Macaca mulatta: one gene and its partners. The protein of the gene in region 6 interacts with the protein of the main gene of each other region in a pairwise test. Links are inferred from orthologs where the notes say so. Each region holds a gene or a part of one and is shown on either strand. Other genes may lie near its edges.

Region 1 (4,270 bases), on a different chromosome or scaffold from region 6:
GCCATTCATTTTCTAATTGTTTAAATGAATACAAGTTTACGGTTGAAAATTTAGAAATAAATTATAAAATCCACCTGTACACTCACCACATGGAAATAAAAACTAGTGACATTTTATTTTACAAACCCAAAATTTAAATGAATGCTGTTCAGGTAGCTTGTGTGAATTCTTGTCACTTAACATTGTATCGTTGGGGCTGGGCGCGGTGGCTCAAGCCTGTAATCCCAGCACTTTGGGAGGCCGAAACGGGTGGATCACGAGGTCAGTAGATCAAGACCATCCTGGCTAACACAGTGAAACCCCGTCTGTACGAAAAAATACAAAAAACTAGCTGGGCGAGGTGGTGGGCGCCTGTAGTCCCAGCTACTCGGAAGGCTGAAGCAGGAGAATGGCATGAACCCTGGAGGCGGAGCTTGCGTGAGCTGAGATCCGGCCACTGCACTCCAGCCTGGGCCACAGAGCAAGACTCCGTCTCAAAAAAAAAAAACAAAAAAACAAAACATTGTATGGTAGTAGTTCCCCAGGTGATATATAGAAACCGTGTCACATTTCATTATACCAATGTATCACTACACATTCAGTAACTTTCTCACTGTTGAAACTTTGGGTTGTTTTCAGTTATTTTTAAATTTTGTATTTATAATTTTTGGTTAAAATCCTTATATAGATGTGTGTCTACATGTTTGGTTATTTCTTTGGGGCAGTCTATGAAAAAGAATTAATGTGTCAAAGATAAAAACGTTCTCCCCTCTCTGGTATGTGAAGCTTGGTTTGATTTGAGGGGCTTGGCACCTTTAAGGACTTACTTTCGCCAGACATACATCTACCTGCTTTACAGTGACCCTGTGAAATCGATGCCAAGATTATGCCCATTTTACAGATGTGCAAACTGAGACATAGGGAGGCCAGTGTTACACAGTAAGCAGGAGAGCCTGTACGATTCCAGCCACGCTGAGTCTGGAGTGGTTGGTCCCAGTCAGGGCACATTTGCTCCCCAGGGACGTTGCTAATATCTGGAGACATTTTTGATGGTCTCAACTGGAGAGGGTATGTAGTGGGCAGACGCCAGGGATGCTGCCAAGCACCCTACAATGCACAGGACGGCCCCCACAACCAGGGATCACCTGGTTAAACATGACAAGGGTGCCGGGGGTGAGAGACCCTGGTCTGGAACCCCATTTTTCACCAGAGTCCCCCAGTACCTCTCCTATTTTTTTTTACATTAGTTCTATGGGATGCAGGGCAAAGGTAACAGCAGGAAACTCGTCTGAGCAGATCCCATTCCCTCCCCTCTGACCTGCTCTCGGTGGTTGTGAGATGAGAGTTGTATTGGGAGAGGATTTGAGACATTATTTTCATTTTAAAGCTTATAGGATATTTATGACAGTCTTTCCTTACCTGCCTTCCCCCACAAAACCAACTTCTTCAGATACACAATCTAAGTAAGAAAAGTCTGCTTACTTTGAAAACACAGCTTCAAGATAATCTCCCAATTTTTTTTTTTTTTTTTTTTTGGAGACAGGGTCTCACTCTGCTGCCCAGGCTGGAGTGCAGTGGTGTGATCACTGCTCACTGCATTCTTGATTTTCTGGGTTCAAGTAATCCTTCCACCTCAGCACCCCCCATCCACCCAGTAGCTGGGACTACAGGTGTGCACCATCACGCCCAGCTAATTTTTGACTTTTTTAGAGACAGGATCTCACTATGTTGCCCACGCTGGTCTCAAACTCTTGGGCTCAAACAAGACACTTGCCTTAGCCTCCCAAAGTGCTGGGATTACAGGCATGAGCCACTGCGCCTGGCCTAGTCACCCTAATATTTATCACAAACTCCCTCACCCTCTTCCTAAACAACTTCACATAAACCTACAATCTAGAAAACTCGGTAGGTTGGCTTTGCAGTTTCCGGACAACTCACCCAGCACCCTTTTTCTTGTGAAATGACACCCCTAAACCACTCCTATACTGAATTTCTAGAGAAACCCCTGTGGCGGCTGATGTAATCACCTGCTTTCTTTTTTTTTTTTTTTTTTGCTCTGTCGTCCAGGCTAGAGAGCAGTGGCGCGATCTCGGCTCACTGCAAGCTCCGCCATTCTCCTGCCTCAGCCTCCCGAGTAGCTGGGACTACAGGCGCCCGCCACCACGCCTGGTTAATTTTTTGTATTTTTAGTAGAGACAGGATTTCACCGTGTTAGCCAGGATGGTCTCGATCTCCTGACCTCGTGATCCGCCCGCCTCGGCCTCCCAAAGTGCTGGGATTACAGGCGTGAGCCACCGCGCCCAGCTGAAATCACCTGCTTTCTAAGTGCCAGATCACCTCTGCTTAAGCCCTTGGATCCCCAGCAGTGGAGGGGCAAATGCAGCTTGGCTAGTCACATCACATGCTTTATCACGTTTTGATTTAACCCTCAAATGGCTGTAAGGGACAGAAACCTACCGGGTTTAACATAGGAGAAATTGATCCTCAGACTCTCCCCACGCTCTGGCTGGCATTTGAACCCCGCTGCTTGGACAGCAGCTCTTTTTCCTAAGTCAGGTGCCTAAAGCTAACCCCTTGGGGGCTTTGTCCTTCAGGGACTAGAGCAGCAGCCCCCTTCTCCCCCAACTTCTGCCTGCCATCTCACCTTCTCTCCACGGAGCTCTCCTTTGTGGCCTCGGGTCCCGAGGGAGAGGAAGATCCTGAACCTCTGTCCTTGACTCTCCGAGGCCCCCGGTCCTGCAGGAGGCTGTGAGCGTCTGGGCTGGAGAAAGACAGATAGGAAGAGTAGGGTGGCTTTTGAACGGGAATTGATTGCAAAACTGGTTTCTGTTAAGTGCTGCAGGAGAAAAAAAAGCCAAACTCTCGGGCTCTTCCAGGAAATCATGGGCTCCAGCTGTGCACTTTCATTTTCCTTTTTGCCTGTTTCTCTAACTGCATGCACAACGAGATGAAAGAGCAGAATCAAAGTCAGAAGGCCTGAGTCTCTCGTCTCTGTCCTGGCTGTGTTATAGGATGGACCTATATGGGGTATGAAAATAGCTCCTGTGGCTTAGAGCTATGGTGAGGAGCCCATGAGCAAGCGATGGGGCACCTGATGAATAGTGGATTCACAGTAGCGATCATCACTGATTGTTCTGAAACTGCTTCCCTCCACAGCATCTTGATGTGGATAACAGCCCTATGAGGTGCACGGCCGGCATTTAAGGGCTAATAACTCTGAAATGCAGAATCCTCTGAAAATGGAAACTTTTTTATTTTATTTTTTATTTTATTTTTGAGATGAAGTCTTGCTCTGTTGCCCAGGCTGGAGTGCAATGGCACGATCTCGGCTCACTGCAACCTCCGCCTCCTGGGTTCAAGCTATTCCCCTGTCTCAGCCTCCCCAGTAGCTGAGATTACCTGCGCCTGCCACCACGCCTGGCTAATTTTTGTATTTTTAGTAGAGATGGGGTTTTATGTTGGCCAGGCTGGTCTCAAACTCCTGACCTCAAGTGATCCACCCACCTCAGCCTCCCAAAGTGCTGGGATTATAGGTGTGAGCCACTGCACCCGGCCTGAAAACGAAAACTTAAAAAAAATAATAATTTATTCATTTAGTGACAAAACCTGAGCTGATCTGGCATGAATTCACTTATGGTTTTTATGTCTCTTCCTTAATTTGAATATTCACTGTCACTGTAAAAATATTAATATGTTTGACTGAGGAGGGCTGCTGGGGGTGGGTGGGTTACACAGTACGTGATACCTGCACCCCATTACCTTTCTAAAAATCACTTGGGGACTCTGACATGCATCTGGCCTCAAGGATTGGAGATACAGGATGTGATACTCTGTCTCCCACTTTAAGGAAGAGGAAACTCAGGCTTCTAGAAGTTGTGGGTTGTTAGTGATTACACAGCTAAGAACCAGTCCTAGGCGCTGTGTCTGCAAGAATGAGCCCACAGTGTGGTTACGGGCTGAGATCTGTGTCTCTCTAACATTTCTGTCACGTTGTGATCAGAAGTCACGTGGTTTGCAGAAATCCCCAGTCACCACCCCTAGCTGAGGCCACACTGGGTGCTGTTGCTTTGCAGAAGGCGTGGCCCACCTAGCCAGTCCTGCCTTTGCGACGATGGAGGCCACCTCCTGTCACTGGGCCCTACGAGCAGGAATGAGGGGTTAAGCGCTGCTGAGTTGGGTCCTGTAGGGGCCTTTCCAACCCTGGCATCCCAGATTCCACAAGCCAGCCCTGCTGTGGCCTCCCACACTTGGAGAACACTCTAAACACAGCGTGACCTTGAAGCGGACTTGG
Region 2 (3,978 bases), on a different chromosome or scaffold from region 6:
TGCCTTAGCTCACCTGTAAAATGGGGATAATTATAATACCTGTCCTACTTATGGTACCCGGGTTGTTGTGAGAAACAAGGGAATTCACGTGGTTGCAAATGCTTTGTAAGGTGTGAGGGGCTGCGAGGTTGGCACTGGTCGTCTAGAATCGGGCTGGATTTAGCCTATGCCTTCTCTTTGAATCCTACTCAAAGGGAGAACTTCTGAAAGGAAATTCAGCAGGGGAATGGTGACAGTGATGGTGACGGCCGGATGCTGGAGACGCCAGGCTCCTCTCGCTGCAGACCAGGCGCCCGGATCCTGCAGTCTGGCCCTGGCTCTGCCGCTTCCCAGCCCGTGAGCTTGGGCCAGTTACCGAAGAGGCTCTGGAAGTGACAGCCAAGGGCCCTTTCAGCTCTGACGCCGTGTCTAAATCAGGCTCATCACTTGGCTCTAGCTGTGATTCACCTTTCGCCTTAGGAGCAACTCTCCCTACAGCTTCTCAGACGCACGAAGCAGGGGTCCCGCGAAGGGTGGGGGCTGTGTATTTCATGAGAGTGTGCACCATAAGGAAGTTATTCTCCTGGAGGAGGTGAGATGGGGGGCGGTGAAGAAGGGGTGACAAGTGAGTGCTCTGAGAAGCCAGGATGCAGGGAACACTGAAATGAGGTCATGACTGTCGCAAGCAAAAAGGAGCTGGACATCCTCAGTGGGGGAGGGAGGAGCGTCCTGCATTTCTGTTTGCAAAGCCTCTTCCCACATCCTTCAGCATCCCCCTCCCCACCTCTCCCCTAACCCCCATCCCTACACCTTTCAAACCCCATCAGGCCCTCCCCGCAGAACAGCCCACGCCCGCGCCTCCTCCGTGGTCCTGTCTGAAACCATAAGGATTGTTTCCAAGCTGACTCACACCACTAATGTCAGGGAGCCGTGTCACACGGCGCTGGGCTCTGCAAGCTGTTGCTTGCGCAGTCGCCCCCGCCGCTGCCGCTCCCCGGCGGGTGCACCAGGGTCCGCGCGGGCGGGGCGGGGTTTGGGCGGGGCCGGGGTGGGGCCTGCCCCCTCGACGCGCCGGCCCCGCCCCTCGCTCTGTCCCTCCCCAGCGGACCGCAATGATTTAGAAGTTCAGGAATCCCACGTGACGTCACCGGGGGGGTGATGTAATGCACTCTAAATAGAATGTATTGTAATCTTTGCTCAGTCCAACGTGGTCCCTTCACCCGGGCTCCGCTCTTGCCTTCTCCACACTTGTTTGGTAAGTTCCTAAAAATACGGCTCGGCCACTTCTGGGGCTTTTGCATTTAGCCACTTTTGTTGCACTTGCCGCGGGAGCCATCTCGGGAGCGTACTTGTTTGCAGGGGTTGGTTCTCGGCAGCAGCCGCGAGGTTACTTGGTCCAGTGGGCAGGTCACAGGGCAAGGAGTAGGGAAGATGCGATGCATTTTTTTCTGGAGGGTGATCTGTGTTTGTAAACATTTTGGCGGACCAGAGGGAAGTCCGGCCCCGAGTGCTGGTAGACTGTGGAATTCGGCTGTGTCCTGAGGCCACCCCAGAGACCCCGCGCCGCGTGAGTGCCGGAGCGCTCGGTGGCCGCCGCGCCGCGCGCCTGGAGGGATGCTAACGTGGAGCCGGCGCCGAGTCCGCCCGGCGTGCGTGCGTGTGTGGGAGCGCGCGAGTCCCCTGACGCGGGGACCAGTTATGAATCGGGGGTGTGTGTTTGCCTCCAGAGACCTGGCAAGGTGCGGAGTCCTCCAGAAGTGCGGTCAAGCGGCAGCGGAGACGGCGAGCCAGGAACCTCCCCCCGCGTCCCCAGCTTCCCAGCGTGGCGGCGGAATCCCCGGAGAAAGTTTGCAAACTTCCAGCGGGCGCGGCGAGGACTCCGGGTCACCTAGGGGGCGGGTGGGCGCGCGCGCAGGGGGCTCGCTCTCCCCGGTGCGGAGCTGCCGCTGCCACTTCTCCCGTGGGGCTGCTGGCTGCAGTGGGTTGGCGCGCGCCCGGGGAGGGGAGGTCGCCCTTGGAGGGCGCTTGGCTTTCGCTCCAGGCACTCCGGGCTGGAGAGCGGCGAGGCTCCGTCCGCTCCCGTCCACTCCTCCGGCCGCCTCCTGCCTCCGCTGCTTTCTCGCTGGCATCGTTACCTCTTCCCGGCCGCTGCCCCAAATGACAGCTCCGGCTCGAGCCTTGGCGGCGCCCAGGCAATTCCCAGGACCCGGCGGCGGAGTCTCCCCCTGCGGCAGATTCTCGGCAGAACCACTTGAACTTTTCGTGAAGTTCTTAGAGGGGCAAGATGCGAAGGAAGGAACCAAGGAGATGTTTTCTCTCAGCAGCTGCATCCACTTCTTTGCCATAGAGTTGTTTTTAAGGGACGTCTAGTAGATAAAGCCCCAGACCTTGTCCACACTCTCATCCCCGTCCCCAACTTTCCCTGGACCGGTGCCGCCCCCACTTGATGCTTGTTCAAGGCCGGGGTCTGGAGCGGGCTACTTGTATGTTTCGTTGTCAGTCTGCTTCTGATGTGTTTGATTTTTATTTTTCCCTCCTTCTCTGACATGTGTCAAGGAATAAAGGCTGGATACAGGTCCATTACGTCATTCTGCAGGCCAGTAAGTGTTTGATTAAAGGCTTGAGCTCCTCAAGGGTTCAGGAGCTTAGAATGCTGACAAAGCAACTCTGCTGTGCATCCCCCTACCCTCCTCACAACACACTCGTGCAATCGCCCCCTCCCTAGGCATCTTTATTGCCCTCTCTTCCCAACCCCTCCCTCTCCACCACTCCCCCGTCTACACCGTTATCACTCTAGCCCCGGCCCCGCCTTTTACAGCTTTCCCTGGAGCGAGCACAGTCCCTGGAGTGTGGGTAAAAGCTTCTGGGGTCTGAGGGGACCACTGTACCTGATCAGCGCGCAATCTGCCCTTTTGTATTTTTTAAGAAAGGCACCAGCAAGCCTTCTCCTCTAGAGCGAAAATGCTTAGTCCTGATAGAAAAGGCAAATCAGGAAATGTTTCCAAGCGTTATGATAATACTCTGTCCTCGTGGTGGTGACTTAGGAAGGCAATACACCCACTGCAAACAAAGTACTTCACTTTACGTATTGCCTGCCCTTTAGCAGAAGAGGGAAGACGAAGAAGCCAGGATGCTGACAAAATCAGGTTTAGCTGAAAGGATCAAGACTAAACGTTTCATTTCCAAAGTAAGGGAATATGAGTTGTTGAACCTAAACTTCCATACAATAAATTGGTGTGTGCGTTAGTTTCTAGCTTTTAACCTTAAGTTTCTATGTTGAAAGAGGAAGTTCAATACGTAAGTCATTGAATTGAGTCAGAACCTCCGTATCTGGCAGTTGAAATAAAGACCCTGTGTATGACTTGTTGCAAGGGATCAAAGTAAAAAGAACTCTTGGCGGGGGGGTGGGGGAGGGAAATGTGCAGAAATTAAATTATAAAAGTATTAACAGAGTTTTGGATAGAGCGGGAGAGGGAATTGGAGTGGTTCCTGATTTGGAGTTGGTGAAAACTAAATAAAGAAATATTTATATTGCCAATATGAGGAATTTCTTGAAGAACACATGTTTTCTTATAATTAGATCTACTTTCTTCAAAGTGAAAGCCATGCTGTAGGGTAGACATTTGTGAAACTCCTGTCTGGGGTCTAATTGACATACTTCCCCAAGTTTGTGGCAGGATTTAGTATTTATTCACATCTAGAGATGAAATAGTGTAACCTCCACACAATATGTGTGCATCGAAAATGTTGAACTTCTTGTTTGTGATGCATAGACTTAAAGGAAAAAAAAAAATGGCCCAGTCATGGGCACTGGAAAGTGTGATTAATGATCAGTGATTTAGTGATCAGTGATTAGTGGTTTTATTCAAACTGTTACCTCTGACCAGAAGCACACATCAGAGGATTAACAGGCTCTTTAGATAAATGCTCATTAGTGGAAGGGGAAAAGCAAAGATAATAGGCATGCACCCAGGGACAACTTTCGAAGAAAATCATTCC
Region 3 (4,170 bases), on a different chromosome or scaffold from region 6:
AAAATTAACCAGGCATAGTGGCATATGCCAGTAATCCCAGATACTTAGGAGGCTGAGGTAGGAGGATTGTTTGAGTCCAGGAGTTCGAGGCTGCAGTGAGCCGTATTCAAACCACTGCATTCCAGCCTGGGCAACAGAGCAAAACCTTGTCTCAAAAGATAAATAAATATCCATCTGGGGGTGTAATTTTAACAGTTTTACCTATAGAGGTGTGCAATGGAGAAAAAAATTTAGAGTCGTTGAACACAATGCTATTTTGCCCCTCAGAGAGTATCTGGCAGTCTCTGGAGACATTTTTTGTAGTCACAACAGGGAGAGTGAGGAGCCACTGGCATCTAGCAGGCAGTGGCCAGGGATGCTGTTAAATGTCCCCCAACACACAGGACAGTCCCCCACACAAAGAACCAGGCAGCCCAAAGTGTCAAGAGTGCTGGGCTTGAGAAGCCCTTGCCCGAAAGCCCCAGACTTAGTCTTGTTTTGGGGGCTCTGCACGGCTGCCTCAACTCCCCACTCTATTCGTCCCCGAGCTAAGACCTCCAATTTCAGTGACTGTACAAAGCATCCCCTCCTCCAATGAAGTAGCCATCTCTGTGTCCCCAGGCTGGGCCAGAGCCCCACCACCTAACGGCTCCCTGATGCGCCCTGTACTGGGTTAGAACTGTCCAGCCCACGGGGTTCTTAACCATTGCAGATTCCCTGGATCCCTGAGACAGCCGGATTCTACCGGGCAACGAGAGACCAAGAATCTGTGTTTTTCTCAAGCACCGCTCCCCGCAACCACACACACACTGCCTGCCCCTATCAAGGGCACACAGCAGGTGGCCCAGTGACTAGTTGAGTGCCTACTGCAAGCCAGGCGCTATTACGCGATCCACTCGGGAATCTTGGCACATACTCCACTCCATGGTGTAGAGACCAGGATCCTCCCCATTTCACAGAGGGGTAAACTGAGGTTCAGAGAGGTGACCCTAGCTAGGACAGAGACTCAGGGCAGGAAAAGCGCCCAGGTCCTCATGAGCGCCAGATTCCCGGGGAAGGAGGGAGGACAGAGAGGAGGGTGATGAACTGGGGGAGCGCGCGCTGGGTGGGGGGGCGCGGGGCCTCGCCGCGGCCTTCCGATGCGGCCCCGCCCCCACGAGGGACGTGAAGACGCGGACCCCGCGCAGCGTGGGGACATGTGACCGACTGCAGAGGCCGCGCCGCCTCCCCCGCCCGAGGTCTGCGCGCTCCGCCGCAGGGTGCAGACCCGGGGCGCCCGCCTGGGTTTGGGGCGCAAGAGCAGAGGCGGAGCCAGGGCGGAGCCAGCGCGCCCGGTCCCCCCTGAATCGAAAGCGAAACAGGGGCTGGGGAGGAAGGGCGGAGCCGGCCCCGAGGCACCGCCCCCTGCCCTGCGCGGCTGCTGGACCGACGGGCGCGCCCAGGTAGGGGGGCGGCTGAACCGCGCAGTGCGGACCCTCGCGGGGACCTGCGCCGCCGCCACCATGTCTCAGGAAGGTGTGGAGGTAAGAGATGGCTACGGCTGGGCCGGGGGCAGACGCGACAGACTCCGAGGAGCGGCCGAGAAGCGCGGAGGGGGCTTCGCAGTTCCTGGGGACCCCCATCCTAGAACCCCAGATCTTTACCCCTGCCTGGCGCTCACCCCCCTTGAAAAGGAAAGTGACTCCCACGTTTCCCCAGAGCGAAATGAGGCCTCTCCGAGGAAAAGCGGGGGCTGCAGGGTCAAAGGTCAGAGGCCAGAGATAACCTGGCCGCCCCCCCACCTTAGGCTGGGACGCTCGCCTCAGTCCGCGCCCTCCCCCAGCGCCATGTGGGGACTTTGGCTTTTTCCAGGAAATGCCGTAGAGGGATGAAAGGGGGGGCGGCGGAGGCCAAAACCAAGGGTCAAGTTCAGGCCGGGAGAACGGTGCCTAGAGATGGGGGAGGGACGATCGCGCTTCCCCTTCGCCCACCGGAACCCCCCTGTCCCCATCCCAGCTGGAGAAGAGCGTCCGGCGCCTCCGGGAGAAGTTTCATGGGAAGGTATCCTCCAAGAAGGCGGGGGCTCTGATGAGGAAATTCGGCAGCGACCACACGGGAGTTGGGCGCTCCATCGTGTACGGTGAGGCTGCTGGGGTCCCGGGCCTGGTGCGGAGACCGCGCGTGGGAGCGCCGAGGGGGCGTGGTCTAGGGAGAGGCGTTGAGATCACCTCCCCCGGAGGTCCCAGCCTCGGGGAGGCTCTGCATCGCGGCTCTGGGTGGCCTGGAACTCCCACAGACCCTTCAAGGGCCCTTCTCTTATACGCACTCTCCCCCGCAGGGGTAAAGCAAAAAGATGGCCAAGAACTAAGTAACGATCTGGATGCCCAGGTAACCTGTCCCCTCCCCTCGCAAAGGACCGGGTCACGGGAGGGACAGCAAGAGGGGGGACCCGACCGGTTCATGGTGACTGACACTTCTCTGAAACAGGAGGGACCAGGCATTGTCGGTCCGTAACTCATCACCCAATATCACTTTTTCACCTCTCTATCGTTTGTCCGGCCAGGGAGCCTGCAAACAGTAGGTGCTCATTATGCGCTGATTGTATTCAAAGGCGGACAGCCATGAAACTAGGCAATGAAAGGAGTCAGGATTATGGCCATCGTGGGGGGGCAGAGATCAGAGAAGACTTCCTGGAGGAGGAGGTACCAAGTCTTAAAGGATGGAGAGGAGTGAGCCCTGGGAGGGGAAAGGGAAAGAAAGGCAGGGGCCTTAGGGTGTGGGAGGGAATGGCATGAGCAAAGGCTGGGAGGTGGGGAAGGGTTGTTAGTGTCAGTCTCTAGAAAGGCTGGGATGAGCAGGGGATTGGGGAGGAGAGAGAGGGAGGGGAAGGGAACCCTTGTGTTGAATGAATGAATGAATGAATGAATGAATGAATGAATGAATGAATGGCTTTGAAGCACAGGTGCATCATGGCTACTTTGCTTCTTCGAAAGCTTTGGTGATGGGAACACTGTGGATTTCGCCTGCCTGAAAGGCTCAGTGTAGGGCTGTTACAGTATAATAGGCCTGGCGCCATGGCTCACGCCTGCGATCCCAACACTTTGGGAGGCTGAGGCGGGCGGATCACCTGAGGTCGGGAGATTAAGACCATCCTGGCTAACATGGTGAAACCCCATCTCTACTAAAAATACGAAACAACAACAACAACAACAATTAGCCAGGCGTAGTGGCAGGCGCCTGTAGTCCCAGCTACTCAGGAGGCTGAGGCAGGAGAATGGCGTAAACCCGGGAGGCAGAGCTTGCAGTGAGCCAAGATCGCGCCACTGCACTCCAGCCTGGGCAACAGAGCAAGACTCCGTCTCAAAAACAAAACAAAAAACAAAAAAACCCAGAGGATAGTAAAATATGTATCATAGTCTACATTTATACATATAAAAGTATGATAAAAATGATAGCAGAGGGGCCGGGTGCGGTGGCTCACGCCTGTAATCCCAGCACTTTGGGAGGTTGAGGCGGGCAGATCACTTGAGGTCAGGAGCTCGAGATTAGCCTGGCCAACATAGTGAAACCCCGTCTCTACTAAAAATACAAAAAATTAACTGGGCGTGGTGGTGCATGCTTGTAATCCCAGCTACTTGGGAGGCTGAGGCAGAAGAATCACTTGAACCTGGGAGGCGGAGGTTGCAGTCAGCCGAGATCACGCCATTGCACTCCAGCCTGGGCGACAAGAGTGAAACTCCATCTCAAAAATATAATAATAACAATAGCAGAGGGTAGCATTCATTGAGTATTTCCCATATGGCAAGACTCCAGGAATTGATTTATTTCATCGCCACAGTGACCCCAGGAGACAGGTCCTGTTATTTATCCCCATTTCACAGACAAACTGAGGATGAAGTCACTTGCTAGGTTCACGAAGCAAGCAGGTGGCAGCTGCGATTTGAACCCTGGCCACCTGGAGTCAGAGTCTGGGCTCTAACATGCCTGTCAGTGGGAACCCAGGAGGCAGGGAGTGGCTTGTCCAAGTCCCCACAGCTGGAAGTGATAGAGCTGGGATTCGAACCCACATCTCTCAGTCCAGATCCCCACCACTTAGCCAAGCACAACATGGCCTCAAAGGGGCGATATTGTCACAACACCAACAAGCATGTGGCATTTGCAGGCAGGAAGTGAGTACGGGGGTCAGGCTGGCCTCACAGGCAAGCCCTCCCC
Region 4 (4,244 bases), on a different chromosome or scaffold from region 6:
GCTAAAGAACCCCGGGTTTGGCTCAGGTCGTCCTCTACAGCAGTGCAAAAATGGATGCAGGACATCAATTTAGAGGACAATTTAATTAGGAAGGAAGAATACTCCTTCAGTCCAGCCTGCCGCTTCGCATAAGGAAAGTTTGGCTCTTTCTGTCAGGGCCTAACGAGTGTCCAGATTACTCATTCCATGTTGGGGGAAAAGGAAAAACACTAGCCGCCCCTGGGTAGCGAATCCGCAGGTAAATGAGCTCTGCGCTGGTGGTGGGACCACAACAGGAGAAAGGTTGCCGGTGACCCGGCCAGGAAGGCGCACATTGCGCGTTTTCTCAGCCCTGGCCACCTCACATGCCCACGACTCTGCCCCGTGCGCCAGCAGTGGGCCCTGTATTGTAAACAGGCAGTGGGCCCTGTATTGCAATAGCTGACTCCCTGGGCCTGCTCGGCAACAAAGCTTGCACTCAAACCCAACAGTCTGGGGGGCCCCAACATTGGAGAGGCTGAAGCAGGGTCGGGAGGGCTGGTGCTCACCCGGATAGCCCACGGATGGGTGCAGGAGGTCCATGGCGGGCCCAGCCAGGCCCAGCCCGTTCATGCCGTATGGGGGTTGTTTGAGGTAAGACATCATGCTAACAGCTGGGTGGAGGCGCCCCGACGGATCCAGGGGACCTGGGGCCAGAAGCGGTGCAGGGCTCCCACCGCAGTCCTTCAGGGTCTGATGCGTCTGGGGGCCTGGCCTATGAAGACACGAGACACACGGAAACCATCAATCGGAGCCACTTGGCTGCCAAGTCTTGCCCCAGGATAGACAGGGAAGGCAGGTTACAGAACTGCGCAGGGTGGTCAACTGGAATCCACAAGGCCTTAGCCCAGAAACCACAGTTGCTTTGAAAAGTAAAGTTTTCTGGGTCGTCTGGCTCCAGCGTTGGAATGAGCCAAAGACACTGGTAGGGAGTCCATAGGAGTAAGGAGAAGTCAAAGCCAGGCCAGGCTGGGGAGGTCAGAGCAAGAACCGCGGAGTGTGCAAGCTCCCAAGTCCAGGCAAAATTCTGAATCCGGCAGAAGCCAGCTTCATGTTGCACAAGCAAACGTTCACTTGGTGCCGGGACGGCAGGCCTCCCGGAGCATGAGGGGTTGTTTCATTTTGTTTCACGTGTTTTTGAAAAGGTAGAGACTACAAAGGGCCAAGGTGAGGCAATGTGGAGGGCTAACCGCACCTCAACCTCTTGTCCACTTAGGACACTTGGTTCCTTCAAAGGTCTCCAGGGCTGCGCCCCTGCCCCAGAGCCCGCAATCACCATTCCAGCTGACCTCTCTGTGCCCAGCCACTGAAAGATCGCTGACGCGAAATCCCACCACACCTCAACCGCAGTAACCGGCCCAGGCCTCGCAGAGGGCCAGGGGACGCCGAAGAGGCCACTGTAGAGGGGGGCGACCCCAAGACGCGGCCTGAGGTCGGGAGCGTCTCAGCTGCGGCCAGCGTCCTTCGTTGCCAGCGCGCACCCGGCCTTCTCTGTCCAGTCTGTGCTGCGGACCACAGGGTCCCAGCAGGGGGTGAAGGGTGACTGACCTAGCACCTCAAAGGGTCTCGGGGATTTGCAAAGCCGGAGGGCAGCAAGTCCCGTGCTGTCATCCTTGTAGCTGAACCCGCGGCCCCAGGACACTGTCGAGAACAGAGAAGTAGGCCTCAGCGGCATAGCCCACGCAGACCCGAGCTGGGAGGTGGAAGCCTCGCCCCCGCCGCTGCCAGGAACCCGGGGCGGCACTCTCAGGGGTCAGGGAGGGGCGCTGGAAACTGGGCCTGGGGCTCTGGGGGGCCATTGCTACACCCCGCTTAGCGGGATCGCTGTGAAGCAGGCCAGGGACTCGGGCTAGGACGTTCAGGGAGAGAAGTTAGAGCTAAAGAAGCTCCCCCCTGCCCCGTTCCCACCCCGGTCTTCTGGGATCCAAGACCTGGGCTGAGGGAGTCCAGCTTGTAGGAAGGGGACGAGAAGAGAAGCAGCCAGGGCTCTAGGGCCGAAGGAAAATGGGACTCAAAGCTGCGACGGCTTTGCGAAGCTGCAGCGTGAGTTTTCAAAGACTTTCTCCAAACTTAGCACTTCAGCTTGGTTACTTCGGAGGAGGCGGGGGAGGGAGCGGCGGGCCGCGACAGCGCCCCGGGGTCCTCGGCTCACCAAGAGGGGAGCTAGGCCGCTCCCCCAGCCCCGCCCACCTGCTGGTGACCGGGGAAGTGGGGATCCATTTGAGGAGGGGGAGGTAAGGGTAACCAACGCGCTCCCGGAGTCCGGGATGGTCCCGCGGCTTTCTCCTTACCTGCCCTCAGCTGCCGGGGACGTTCACCATCTACCTGGATCTCTCACAGAGACCCGCCGGGCAGCCAACCTGCAAAACAGAGCGGCACAGGAATTACCCCGGCGGCTGGTCTAGGACCCCGGGTTTCTTTCTTTTCCCAACTTCCTTCCTCCCACCTCTATCTTTTTTTTTCAGTGGCTTTGTGCGTGTCCCTCTGGGTTTCACTTTATTGCACAGACACTTTGTTTGCTAAGCCCCACACGTTCTCAGGCAGGACATTGCCTCGCCCGGAATCGCGCCGAGGGGCCGCAAGGGGGGGAATTCGAGGGCAGAGTTGGGAGGTGGCTCGGCGTTACCGCGGCACTGCCGGTGCAACGTGGAGGCAGTGGGGACTGGGAAGTCCTGCAGAGTCACTTTGCAAACTAAATAAATCAAGCGATTTACCTTGTCGGAGTGGCTTGTCTTGCTCGGTTGTTTAGGTGATTGGAAATGTAGCCTGATGAAGATTGATCACCTTTCTACTGCCCTCCCCGGGTATGTGAACGCGAGGCGAGTGCGTAACGGGGCTAGGCCGCCAATCGGGGGCCCCGCGCGGGCTGAGTGACAGGGAGCCGGGCAATGGCAGCGCGAGCCGGGGGTTACCTCCGCGCGCCCCCGCCCTCCCCCGCCCCCCACACCCCGCCCTCCCCTCCCGCCCGCCCCGCCCCGGTCGCGCGCTAACTCCGGGACTCGGCTGGCAAAAGCGGCTCAGAGCTAGGCGAGGAAGGCGAGCGGAGAGCCCGAGTCCTGGCCGCGGAGGGGGCCGCGGGTCTCCAGGCCTTCCCTGGGCGCCCCCGCCCTTCTCTCGCGCTCTCGGCGCTCCGGAGGGAGTGGCAGAGACGAGGAGAGGTGCTGGAGAACCGGTTCCTTCGCTCTCCTGCGCGCCACCGGGCTCAGCCGCCCGGGTGTGGGCGCCAGGACCCGGGGGCGGCGGGCTGGAGGAGCCCGGGCCTCGGCCCCTCTCCTGGCGCCGCGGGCCCCAGCGTTTTCTTCCTCTGCACCGCCACCTGAGACCGACGCCGCGGGCGGCTCGTGCCGGCGCAGGCTACTTTGCAGAGCGCGGGAGCAGCTCCGGGCGTGCAGATCTCTCCTCGGCGCCTCGGGACTCTCGCGCCTGGGAAGAGCACCCACTGGGAGGGCACAGCCACTTACCTGCTCATCGGCATCTCCCGGGGTTCCCGGTCCCCACCAAGGGTGTTTGCAAGCCTTAAGCGCTTCTTCTGAAACGTTGGAGCCCAGCGTCCTCTTGCCCTCACATGTACACCCTACTTCTTAATTCAAACATTTTGATAGGAAAGTTTCTTTTTCATTCTTTCTCTCTCTTTCCTAGTCTGCCTCTAACAGGGACTTTTTGATGGAAAATGTGGCCACAGACCCCTGCCCTCAACTTTTTTCCACATGCTGCGTAAGGAGCCTCCTTGAGGCGATTTCCCCGGATTGTTCGTACGGGCGAAGCCCATTTCCCAGTGGAACAAACTTCCCAAACACGTCTGCCTGGGTGGACTTTTAAAAGTGCAAAAAAGAGTTTTCGTTCCAACTCTGAGCTAGGAGAATCTTTTAAATGGCACCTCCTTCTGAAAATTAGGCACTTTATTCCCTTTCGAGGAATTTCTACCCCTTGTTTCTAATCTCCCCCACTCCCCCACCCCGACAGGCGGGGTAAAAAGTTTGCACAGGAGTAAGTGTGAGGGCGAGTCAAGGAGCCTCCAGGCGCATCGCAGTGGGGAGCACCCGTGCTGCCCAGGCTGCGGGGTCGGGCGCGGAGAGCAGACAGGGCGCTGGGTGAGGAGGAGGAGAAGGAAGGGGGAGCCCGCTGAGTGAAAAGGGGCCGCGGCCGCCGCTCATCAAAGTGCTTCCCCCTCCCCCAAGCGACACTTTCCTTTGGAGTCCGAATAAAATACGGTAACAGAATATGAT
Region 5 (3,002 bases), on a different chromosome or scaffold from region 6:
GGGTGTCCACTGTGCCGCACGAGACAGAGTAGAGGCCGGGCGCGGGGCTCACGCCTGTAATCCCAGCACTTTGGGAGGCTGAGGTGGGCGGATCACCTGAGGTCAGGAGTTTGAGACCAGCCTGGCCAACATGGCAAAACCCCATCTCTACTAAAATTACAAAAATTAACCAGGCGTGGTAGTGAGCGCCTGTAGTCCCAGCTACTTGGGAGGCTGAGGCAGGAGAATTGCTCGAATCTGGGAGGCGGAGGTTGCAGTGAATCGAGATCGCACCACTGTACCCCAGCCTGGCGACAGAGTGAGACTGTCTCAAAAAAAAAAAAAAAAAGAATGAAACTCAAATAAAATCCATTTCCATTGTTTAAAAAAAAAACCCACTCAATAATCTTGCCCAAACTGTGGACAGTGGGAAACAAAGAGAAGGAGGGCTGGCCTGAGCAGCTGCCTCGGGGGGCTGGAACGGCCCTGTCCCCAGGAGAGTGGGAGCCCACAGCAGCCTCCCCAGGGCTGGCCCTGACTGAGCCCGTCCCACTGAGGGCAGATGTGTCCTGGAAACGAACAGGGGCCCCAGGACCCTGCTCAGAGTCACTTTCTCCGAGAGGCTCTCCTTTTGTGCCCTCCCCATCTCCCCTCTGAGCCCCACACCTGTGGGAAGAATTACCTGTTTGCAAGGCGGTCTCCAGTCCAGGCCCACAAGCACCCATGGCTGTGCCCAGCCTGGCTCTCAGCCTTCAGATAAACAGCCCATCCTCAGAAAGCCCCCCACCCCCTCCCAACCCCAGATGACGCCCCCACCCCCACTGCCAACTGTGTGAGCACCAGGCCCCAAAACCCACTGAGGGGCCCTGCGAGGCCCGGGGCTTCGTGTCCAGGAGAGGGACCGAGGGCTCAGCCGATCACGTTTGAGTCCTGGTTTCAACCCAGTTCTAACCACAGAAAACCATGTCACGGAAACATAAACACCAGAGGGACGTGCAACGCCAGGGGTGGCGGTTTAGGCGCGGTCAGGTGTCGTGGCAGCTTAAAAAGAGGCCTTATCTTTATTAGCGGCTGACAGTGATATTTACAGATGAAACCGTCTGAGACTCGCTTCCAGACAACACAGGAACATGACGACTGAACACAATCCTGACTCCAGGCTGGATCCCGTGCCAGGAATAATACTGCTTTGAAAGTTACGATTGTGTCAATTAATGAAATTGGAATATAGTCTACGTATTAGATAAAAGTATTGTTATCTAAATTCAATTTCCTGAAATCTGTATTTGTGCTATGGTTATATAAAAGAGTATCTTTGATCTTAGGAAATATACATTGAAATATTAAGAGGTAGGCCGGGCGCGGTGGCTCACGCCTGTAATCCCAGCACTTTGGGAGGCCGAGGCGGGCGGATCACAAGTTCAGGAGATGGAGACCATCCTGGCTAACATGGTAAAACCCCGTCTCTACTAACAATACAAAAACAAAATTAGCCAGGCTCGGGAGGCCGAGGCAGGAGAATGGTGTGAACCTGGGAGGCGGAGCGTGCAGTGAGCTGCACTCCACCTGGGCAACACAGCGAGACTCCGTCAAAAATAAAAAAATAAAAAAAATTGAAAAAGAAAACATACAACAACTACACAGACACGAGCAGAAGTGCAACATGTGAGCAGCTGGTGGCCTCACGGGCTGCAGGACCTCGGCGCTCTTGCAACTTTTTGGTGAGTTTAAAATTATTTCAGGCCGGGTGTGGTGGCTCCCACCTGTAATCCCAGCACTTTGGGAGGCTGAGGCCGGTGGATCAGTCGGGGGTCAGGGGTTTGAGACCAGTCTGGGCAACAAGGCGAAACCCTGTCTCTACTAAAAATACAAAAATTAGCTGGGCGAGATGGCGGGCAGCTGTAATCCCAGCTACTCGGGAGGCTGAGGCAGGAGAATCGGGGAGGCGGAGGTGCAGTAAACGGAGATCGCACCATTGCACTCCAGCCTGGGTGACAGAGCGGGACTCTGTCTCAAAAAAAAAGAAGAAAAAAAGAGGCCGGGCGCGGTGGCTCAAGCCTGTAATCCCAGCACTTTGGGAGGTCGAGACGGGCGGATCACGAGGTCAGGAGATCGAGACCATCCTGGCTAACACGGTGAAACCCCGTCTCTACTAAAAAATACAAAAAACTAGCCGGGCGAGGTGGCGGGCGCCTGTAGTCCCAGCTACTCAGGAGGCTGAGGCAGGAGAATGGCGTGAACCCGGGAGGCGGAGCTTGCAGTGAGCTGAGATCCGGCCACTGCACTCCAGCCTGGGCGACAGAGCGAGACTCCGTCTCAAAAAATAAAAAAAAAGAAAAAAAAAAAAAGAAAAAAAAAAAAAGGAACAGGCTGGTTGTGGCCCCAGCAACACATACAGGGCCACAGAAACGGTGGCAGAGTAGAGCCCAGCACGGTCCTCGGCACCCTATCATTCACGCAAAGTAAAGACACACAAACAAAATGACAACGCACGTACAGCCAAACAGTAGACACGTGTGCGGCCCTGCGGTGCCCAGAGGAAGAGGAGGGGCAGCCTCGCTGGACCTGTGGCTGTGACCCTGTGAGGCGATGGACAGCCCTGTGCCCGAGACACCCGCAGCTTTGATGCCGACGCAGTCAACCAGCTGGGCCCCCGCCCTCCTGAGTTGTTCGCCTCGGGGCCTCTGTGCTGGCTGTTCCCTCTGCCTGGCTGCCTCCCTAATGTCCAGGCGTTGGTGCACACATAGCCGACCCCACACCACGCATGCACCACGCATGCACCACGCATGCACCACGCCCCCCGGGCACCTACAGAGGCTTCCCCAGTGCGCTCCTCGGCCGCCGCCACGCGTGCCACCTTGGAGATGATGGGCGCCACGTTGGTGGGGCCGTAGAGCTGGACCCTGGGCAGACAGTTCTGGTAGGCCTCCACCACGCCCTGGATGCCTGTAGGGGGCAGGGGGTGAGCCCGGCCCCCTTGCACCCCCTCCCCAGGCCTGCCTCGAGCTCCTACCTTCACACTC
Region 6 (3,500 bases):
TGTGTGCATGTGTGTCCGTGTGTGTCTGTGTGCATATGCATATGTGCATGTGTTCATGCACGAGTGCACATGTGTATGCATACATGTGTCTGTGTCCATATGTGTGCATATGCATGTGTGTCTGCATACGTGTGTGTACATGCTTGCATGTGTGCATATGTTCATGCATATGTGTGTGTACATGTGTATGTGTACAGGGGTGTGTATCTGTGCACATATGCGTGTGTGTGTGTGCACCCCGTCTTCCCTCACCAGACAGCGTCCAGCCACACAGATGTCAGGGGCTCCAGGCTGACATAGGGTCCCATCCTGGACCTTTTCGGTGTGACGGACATAGAAGCGGAAGCCACGGGGCCGGCAGTTCAGTTCACAGCGCTGGGAGCCCTGGACTAAGGGACAGAGTAGAAGGGTGGTTAGTGGGCTCCCTGGTGGGAGGTTAGCTGAGAGAGGCCCCGGGGGGGCACCTTGAGGTTGCCCAGGTCACTGTGGATGAAGGAAATGTGACAACAGCACAAGCTGAGAAGGTGGTCAGGGCCGGCACAGTGGCTCATGCCTATAATCCCAGCACTTTAGGAGGCCGAGGCCGGTAGATCATTAGGTCAGGAGTTCAAGACCAGCCTGGCCAATATGGTGAAACCCCATCTCTACTACAAATACAAAAATTAACCGGGCATGGTGGCACATGCCTGTAGTCCCAGCTACTTGGGAGGCTGAGGCAGGAGAATTGCTTGAACCCAGGAGGCAGAGGTTGCAGTGAGCCGAGATCTGCACTCCAGCCTGGGTGACAGAGCGAGACTGTCTCAGAAAAAAAAAAAAAAAAGGAAGGTGGTCAGGTCAGTCGAGGTCACTGAGACCATCAAGGGGACTCTGAACCGAGAGAGGAGCAATCCCTGAGGCCCATGATTCTGTGTGTTCAGAGCTCTTGAGTGCTTGTCTTGGTGTCAACACAGGCCTAAAATGAAGCGGATGGTAACTTGGGAGCAACCGATACGGTAGTGCCCAGGATACGTGGCACACCCCCACCCAGCTGTCACGGCTGGACAGGATCTCTCCCACTGTGGCCCTCTTGTGTCACAGCCACCCGACCCCCAGTGATGGTCTTCCCAGAGGAGTCCGGACAAAGCGTGTCTCCCGCACCTCCTCCTCCCACCCCGACCCCTCTGCAGACCACTCGCCGCCACCTGTGCTGTCTCCTGACCCAGCCCCAGGGAGAAGAAAGAAGGCACGGCGCAGGGGAAGCAGAGGGGCTGGAAGTCATTCAGGGCTGGGAGTAAGCAGGTGTCTCCTCTCCCCTTCATCCCCAATTCCAAGTCATCACTGCCCAGGGGTGGGCAAGAAACCTCACCTTCGGTGAAGGGCTCCCACTGGTACAGCTGGCCCATGAATTCCTGGGAGTTAAAGGCCGCGCACTGCAGGGCCCGGGGGTCTGGCTGCTCGGGGGGGCAGGGCTGCGGTGAGGGGTACAAAGGAGTCAGAGCTGGGGAGCAAAATGAGGGTAAGGTCAGGGCTGAACCTGGGGAGCAGGCGGGAGGATCAGGTCAGCGGAAGAGCTCCAAGACCCCTGCCCTGAGGTGGTCAGATGCCAAGGCCCTTCTCCCTCAGGGGCCGAGAAGAAGCTGAGGGCCCAGCTTCAGGGCGGGGAGGCCACACTGGAGGTTGGGGTTGGGAGGGGAGACCCGAGGAGACTCACCGCTTGGCTGCAGGCTCTTAGCTGCTCACTCTCCCCAGAACATCTTGGAATAGGGCTACTGGGAGCAAAGAGGCTCCAGAGGGAGCTGGCATGGGGGCCGTTGCTCAGCAGGGGCAGCCAGCCGTCCGGGTGCTGAGGGTCAGGCTCCAGGCGGTGCCCGTGAGGAGTCCCCCCCATTCCCCAGGGCCCCTGGCCCTGCTGGCCTCGGCCCCGAGGGACTGAAGGGAAAGGATCAGGGCGTCTCCCTGCTACCTGGGGACTGGCCCAACCCTGGGAACTTGGCCTTCGTGGCTGAGGGGATGCACGGAAGAAGCCACCTTCTCCTAAGGAGTGCGTGGGTGAGGGGGCCTCTGTGTCAGCGGCCTGGGCTCTGGGGTGGTGCTGTGGAGGGGCAGGCCTGGTTCTGGGAGCCACCTCTGTCTGAGCAGTTTCAGGGCTTAGAGGTTCTGCTTGGGGGGATGGGGTGTGGACAGACAGTTCTGTGGGAGGGAGCTCAGTCTTGGGGCTGCCGTTTGTGGAGAATGGCTCTGCTCTTGGAGTAGGGGATGGAATGGGCTCTTCCCCTCTAGAAGAAATCAGGGACAGCTCAGATCTGGGTGGCCTCCGAGGGTGCCTGCGGTTCCGGTGCAGTGGCAATGCAAAGGGCACTCTCCCATAACCGAACATTCCTGGCTTGATGGGGTCTCGAAGCCGGGACCTGAGAAGGTGTTTCAGATGTGGGGGCACAGCTCTGACCACCTCTGACCCTGTTTCCCCAGTTTACTTCCTGGCACCAAAGACAAGCCCTCTGAAGTCACCCGTGCTCCCCTTTCCTTCTTGCTAAGCCCCCACCTTGCCCAAGGCCCACCTCTTCCACCCAGGCCTCTCACCTCCTGGCCGCTTGAATCTCCTGGGTCTCCTCTCTCCCTAGGTGGGAAGCAGGACCTCGAAGTGGGCCACCCCTTCCCCGAGACTGTGTCCTGTACAAGGGGAGGGTTTCTGGAGAAGTCTGGGGTCTGGGACCCTGGCCCCGGGGGAGGAGGGCTTCTGGATGTCTTGGGGGCCGGGGAGGGAGGGGCAGACTCGGGCGGAGCTGCACTGTAGGGAGCTGACATGTCCGGCTCCTGCGCTGCACCCCCACCCCGCAGGGCTGGGAGCAAGAGGCCCACTGGACCCAAGGTCCCCAGACACCTTCGAGGCCCTGGCCCTCCTCTGTAGGTGTCTGAAGAGAGTGTCCGGACAACACCTATATAGAGAAAAAGGTCAGACAGAATTGGAAGGATTAGAGGGAACTGTCCAGAGCGTCCATCTAGACCACCGCTGGGGCTCACAGAGTCGCTGCCAGTCCAGGGTCACATTCAGCAGCAGAGGGAGAACTACACCTCGGCCTCTTGGTGTTGTGAGGCAAGTAACTGTGGAGTTGGCAGGGGAGGTGGATGGGCTGTGGGGAAAGGAGGCGTGGCCTGGAGAGATGGGGTGGGAGCCCAGGGGGAGATGAAAGGGTGGCAGGCAGGCTGCAGCTGCTCACTTGTCCAAAGCTCACCTCCTGATCCAGGCAGAGCTGAGGGAGGGACAGAAGCAGCAGCAGCAGCAGATACAGCCAGGGCCTGCAAACCAAAGGCCATGGGAGGGACGTCAGACTGGAGCCAGAGGGGGTGTTGCAACACCACCCTCCGCCCCCAGCCGGCTCCCCATATCCTGACTACCAACTTCTCAGAAAGCAGAAGTTACTCATCACTTCCCCTGCCCCTCCCAGTGGTCCTCTTTCCCTCACTTCCAGACATGGAGCCGTCCCAGCAACCCCCCCTTCCCTCCCCACCATGGCCCCTTC
Region 7 (4,135 bases), on a different chromosome or scaffold from region 6:
CACGCCTGAGACCCCTCCAGTTCCAGGGCCAGTGTCTGACGGGAGCCTTTAGGGGGGTACCTTCTCTATTTCTAGGCCCAGAGTTGAGCTTCTGACCCCCACCCTTCCACTGTCGGGACAGGGCAGTGCCTGAGCCCCCACCATCATGCTTAGCACCCTTATGTTCAGCACTGCCCCTGCTGGGCTGCTCTTAGCCAGCCTTTGTGGGATGCGTGATAAGCTCAAAGCAATGAAGTGAGCTGGCTGTCTGGGTGTGGCTGTGAGGTCACAACACTTAAGTCCCCTCTCGAGGGTCAGGGTCCACAGCTCCAATAAAGCTCAATAAGTTAGCAGCAGACAGGTCTTGAACCCAGGTGTCTGCCTCCCAGCCCAGGGCCGGCTCCCACACTAGGCTGCTCCTCTTTCTCTCCCATTTGCAACACGCCCAGCCCAAGTATTGGGGTGACTATAAAAAATGAAGGCCAGGGAGGGAATGGGGCACAGGAGTCGGGTGTGGCCTCTGATCCAGATGGCACAGAAGGGGCCCGCCCTCCCGCCTCTGGCTCGGATGCACATACTAGAGTGTGAAGCCTCTGCCAGCATGTGCAGAGGTTCTGCCCTGTGAGATGGGAGGGACGATATGGGGTCAGAAAGTCTAGGAATCACATCCCCTCCCCTACAGGGACGCTTCCCCAGCCCAGCATACCCAGCCAAGCTTCAGTGTGAGCTTGACCCTACCCAGTGGAACTCCCCGAGGCCACAAGCTCTGCCCCCACTGGAAACTGAGGCCTGGGGGCAGAGCTTGACATGGCCTGCCTGAACTCTGTCCCGTACATACCCCGCAGCCACGTCTAAACTGGCTAAAGTCTAAACTCCAGCCCATGGAGGTAATCTTCAATCTTGGGCCAAGCAGAGGTTGGCTGCAGAGGAGGCTGGGTGAGGTGTCACCGTGACACAAAAGCGCTAAGCCCCCCGTGGCTGGGCTGAGCCAGCTGCCCTCTGCACCAGACCTTCACCTAGCCTCCCCCAGGCTGTCAGCTGCAGGATCTGAACTTTGACTGAGAAGCGAGAGGACAGCTGCTGTAATCACTACTGCCATCTCTGAGGCGCCCTCCGAGATGACCCACACAGTCCCCACACCCACCTGCCCTGCCTACAGCCCTGCCAGCCTCATCTCTCCAGACAAGTCCTCCTCTCTGCTCCTTAACCTCTCCCTCCCTGTGAGGGCACCCCAAAGCCTGCTCACCTGTCCCTTGGGCCCTCAGACATCCTCCAAGCCTTCCTCAGTCTCTCAGGCCAAATCTCCCCCTGCTGTTGCCCAAGCCCAGCCTGAGTTTGCACTTGTCTGAGGAGCTGGGAAAGGCCAGGTCTGGGACAGCAGGCGGCTGCCACCAGCGGCCACTTTGCCATGCTAAGCAGCCCAGGAGACATTCTTTTCCACAGCTGCCACCCAGTCACCAGCATCTGCTTGTCATTAGTGACCCCAGTCCAGACCCCATTCAAGCCGGGAGCCATGGGCACGTGTGGTTGCAAACTCACCCCCACACACCCTAACACAGCAGCACAAACATGCACACAGTTTACACAAGCACAGAGACTCATGCTGGCAGACGCATGCACACATACACACCTTCACACACACACACGCACACGTACATGCACACACGCACATGCGCGCACACCCACCCACACACACACACACGCCACACCTCTCAGTGCCTGGAGACCATGGAGCCCAGCACTTGCCCCCCAGCCCATACTGTAATCCAGGAAAACTGCCTTCAAACAGCCCCAGAAAGAGTTTTCACTGCCTTATCTTTGTCTAATTCCCAGGGGCGGAAGAGTGGAAGACGGCCTTTCTCTGGATTCCTAGAGGTGGTTTGTTTGGAAACCTGTGTGAACATGGGGGGCTCCCTGAGGGAGTCCTGTTCACACACCTGCAGAACCAGCTGCAGACAGGCTGGGCATCTGGTTCAGGGTGGCTGGGGAAAGCGGGCGAAGTTTCCCCAGGGTGCAGGGCTGGGGGAGGAGGGAGTTGGTGGCACAGGCAGGACTGAGAAGGGCCAAAAAGCTACAGCCAAGGGGCGAGGAGCTGCTGGCCAAGCTTATTCCCCATAATAGATGCCCTGCAGGGGACATTGGCAAGACCATTATTCTCTTGATCTCAGCTTCCCACAGTGCCTGGCAGAAAACAGGCTCTGGGAGGCATGCATAACTGAGTTCCAGCCCCAGCTCTCCCCCCCGGCTCTCTATGTGACCTCCAGCAACCTCTTGTCCTCTCCATTCCTCAGTGTCCGCATCTGCACGATGGGCAGAGGATGGAACTGGTGCCTTTCAGCATCATTCTAGAACCCCCCAAGCTCGGGGACACCCCACTCACATCATTGCGGCCGAGCGAGTTCCCAGGCAGGGAGGAGGTGATGCCCGAGAGGATGGCGGCGGCGACGATGGCCCCCACGCACTGGGCGATGATGTACATGAGGGCACGGAAGATGCTGATCTGGCAGCTGAGCAGCAGCCCCAGCGTGACAGCCGGGTTGAGGTGGGCGCCACTGATGTGACCCACGCTCTGTGCCAGCGTGGCGATGCTCAGTCCGAAGGCCAGCGACACCTTCACATTGTCCTGGACCACCGTCTGGTTGTTCCCCACCGGGTATTTGAAGCCCAGGGCAGAGCCAATGCTGATGAAGACAAAGAGGGTCGTGGCCAGGAACTCGGCCACCACTGCCCTCCAGAAGAGCTTCTTCTTGAACTCGCTGGCCATGCTGGCAGGGGGCTTGGCCTGAGACCGCTGCCGGGTGCTCAACTCCCTCTGAGAGCTGAGCCACAGCCTGGGCTGGGCCTATTTATAGGGCCGGGGGGCGGGGGGAGCACAAAGGGAGGAAGGCCTCTCTTCACTCCTGGCCCGCCCCACACCGCACGGACCTCCTCTGGATGGATGCAGACACGGCTCTGCTGTCCGCCTGCCAACTTTTTCCTTCCTCCTCTCCCCCTCCCTCTCTCTCTCCCTCCGCCCTCAGCCCTGCCCAGCCCAAGGAGGCAGGCAGGAGGCAGCCGTCGCTCTAATAGGCTTTGGGAAATTCTTCCAAGCTGGCCCCACTCACGGGACCAGAGAAATCCAGGTGTCTCCGCCCTGTGTGCAAAGCTCAGGGGGTTCCTGAGGACACAGCCAGGTGCTCCAGAGTGGGCGGGGTGGGCGGGGTGGGCGGGCTGGACTCAGTGGGTGGACGTTGCCCTCCCTGGAGGCAGGCACCATGATCCTGCTGGCCTGACATCCCCATCCCAATCCAGAGAGGCACTGGTCTGGAGTCCCTGGGCCCAGGGCTCCAGAGGGGCAGTCAGGGCCTCCCACACGGCCACTGCATGCCATGTTAGGGATGTCCCAGAGTCCCCAGTCTCCCCGAGCCAGGCCTCTGTGGATGGGGCACGGAGGCATCAGAAGGTGCAGAGAGGTTGTCTGTGGCTGCCCTCCACGCTGTGGTTGGGGACAGGCCTGAGCTAGGCAGAGCTGTTAGAAAGCCGCTACCCTGGGAGCTCCCAAACTTCTCCAGAGCAATTTGAACCAATGATTTGTGGGCAGGTTGGTGAAGATGGGACAGTTTAGGACTTTCCTCTCAAGGCAGTCACACTGGTGGGTCACTGGGAAGGTGGAAGGAACGGCAGCCCCACCTGGCATTGGAAGGTGATGGAGAGGAGGGAGGGAGGGAGCAGGAGAGAAAGGGAGAGACAGAGATGCAGGCTGAGGGGAGGAGAAGAGACAGACAAGGAGAAAGGAAAGACAGTAGCCAGGAAATAGAGCAAAAGTGGAAGCGAAAGAGACAGACCCCCAACCAGAGACAGTGAGACAAGCAGGGCCAAGAGAGACAGAGAGAGCGCAGAGGGCTAGGAAAAGACAAACCGAAACAGGGAGATAGGACTGGACCCAGAGCCAAGAAGTAGAAAGGGAGAGATAAATGAGGAGAAGGAGAGACCAGTAGGGGCCAGACGAGCCCCTGCAAAGGGAGGGGCCGAGGCCCTGCTACGGACCCCCGCGGGCCCCCTGCGCCCTGGGCATCTCCAATCCAGAGGCCCAGCGCCAGCCAACAAACAAAAAGAATCCGGACTCTGGGGCCAGCAAGCTGTCAGGAATCCCTGGGCCTGGCCCACTTGCCTGCTG

The links.
Region 1: the proteins of ADAMTSL4 (region 6) and APOL6 interact in binary tests that used the Homo sapiens proteins (3 or more experiments, as listed by UniProt). The two-hybrid records come from large-scale screens. The link is inferred for Macaca mulatta from reciprocal best matches to the Homo sapiens genes ADAMTSL4 and APOL6.
Region 2: the proteins of ADAMTSL4 (region 6) and CREB5 interact in binary tests that used the Homo sapiens proteins (3 or more experiments, as listed by UniProt). The two-hybrid records come from large-scale screens. The link is inferred for Macaca mulatta from reciprocal best matches to the Homo sapiens genes ADAMTSL4 and CREB5.
Region 3: the proteins of ADAMTSL4 (region 6) and SHFL interact in binary tests that used the Homo sapiens proteins (3 or more experiments, as listed by UniProt). The two-hybrid records come from large-scale screens. The link is inferred for Macaca mulatta from reciprocal best matches to the Homo sapiens genes ADAMTSL4 and SHFL.
Region 4: the proteins of ADAMTSL4 (region 6) and OTX1 interact in binary tests that used the Homo sapiens proteins (3 or more experiments, as listed by UniProt). The two-hybrid records come from large-scale screens. The link is inferred for Macaca mulatta from reciprocal best matches to the Homo sapiens genes ADAMTSL4 and OTX1.
Region 5: the proteins of ADAMTSL4 (region 6) and CPNE7 interact in binary tests that used the Homo sapiens proteins (3 or more experiments, as listed by UniProt). The two-hybrid records come from large-scale screens. The link is inferred for Macaca mulatta from reciprocal best matches to the Homo sapiens genes ADAMTSL4 and CPNE7.
Region 7: the proteins of ADAMTSL4 (region 6) and AQP1 interact in a two-hybrid assay, tested with the Homo sapiens proteins (2 studies listed by BioGRID and IntAct). The link is inferred for Macaca mulatta from reciprocal best matches to the Homo sapiens genes ADAMTSL4 and AQP1.

The regions. Positions count from the first base shown.
Region 1 is NC_133415.1:15,895,198-15,899,467, forward strand, and holds the start of APOL6 (apolipoprotein L6), read right to left. Parts: upstream 2,801-4,270; 5' UTR 2,624-2,800; intron 2,067-2,623; exon of another isoform or gene 1,781-2,066; intron 1-1,780. UniProt on the Homo sapiens protein: May affect the movement of lipids in the cytoplasm or allow the binding of lipids to organelles.
Region 2 is NC_133408.1:99,935,438-99,939,415, reverse strand, and holds the start of CREB5 (cyclic AMP-responsive element-binding protein 5), read left to right. Parts: upstream 1-1,178; 5' UTR 1,179-1,234; intron 1,235-3,978. UniProt on the Homo sapiens protein: Binds to the cAMP response element and activates transcription.
Region 3 is NC_133424.1:10,795,578-10,799,747, forward strand, and holds the start of SHFL (shiftless antiviral inhibitor of ribosomal frameshifting protein), read left to right. Parts: upstream 1-1,370; 5' UTR 1,371-1,481; coding exon 1,482-1,502; intron 1,503-1,974; coding exon 1,975-2,098; intron 2,099-2,296; coding exon 2,297-2,346; intron 2,347-2,521; coding exon of another isoform or gene 2,522-2,660; intron 2,661-4,170.
Region 4 is NC_133418.1:61,712,516-61,716,759, forward strand, and holds the start of OTX1 (homeobox protein OTX1), read right to left. Parts: upstream 2,801-4,244; 5' UTR 2,733-2,800; intron 2,379-2,732; 5' UTR 2,310-2,378; intron 734-2,309; 5' UTR 625-733; coding exon 528-624; intron 1-527. UniProt on the Homo sapiens protein: Probably plays a role in the development of the brain and the sense organs. Can bind to the BCD target sequence (BTS): 5'-TCTAATCCC-3'.
Region 5 is NC_133425.1:85,041,575-85,044,576, reverse strand, and holds part of CPNE7 (copine-7), read right to left. Parts: coding exon 2,993-3,002; coding exon of another isoform or gene 2,926-2,992; coding exon 2,792-2,925; coding exon of another isoform or gene 2,433-2,791; exon of another isoform or gene 2,309-2,432; intron 1-2,308. UniProt on the Homo sapiens protein: Calcium-dependent phospholipid-binding protein that may play a role in calcium-mediated intracellular processes.
Region 6 is NC_133406.1:116,571,132-116,574,631, forward strand, and holds part of ADAMTSL4 (ADAMTS-like protein 4), read right to left. Parts: intron 3,277-3,500; coding exon 3,213-3,276; intron 3,075-3,212; exon of another isoform or gene 2,916-3,074; coding exon 2,560-2,915; intron 2,388-2,559; coding exon 1,691-2,387; intron 1,449-1,690; coding exon 1,346-1,448; intron 1,279-1,345; exon of another isoform or gene 1,167-1,278; intron 390-1,166; coding exon 253-389; intron 1-252. UniProt on the Homo sapiens protein: Positive regulation of apoptosis. May facilitate FBN1 microfibril biogenesis.
Region 7 is NC_133408.1:97,464,355-97,468,489, forward strand, and holds the start of AQP1 (aquaporin-1), read right to left. Parts: upstream 2,801-4,135; 5' UTR 2,744-2,800; coding exon 2,360-2,743; intron 1-2,359. UniProt on the Homo sapiens protein: Forms a water channel that facilitates the transport of water across cell membranes, playing a crucial role in water homeostasis in various tissues.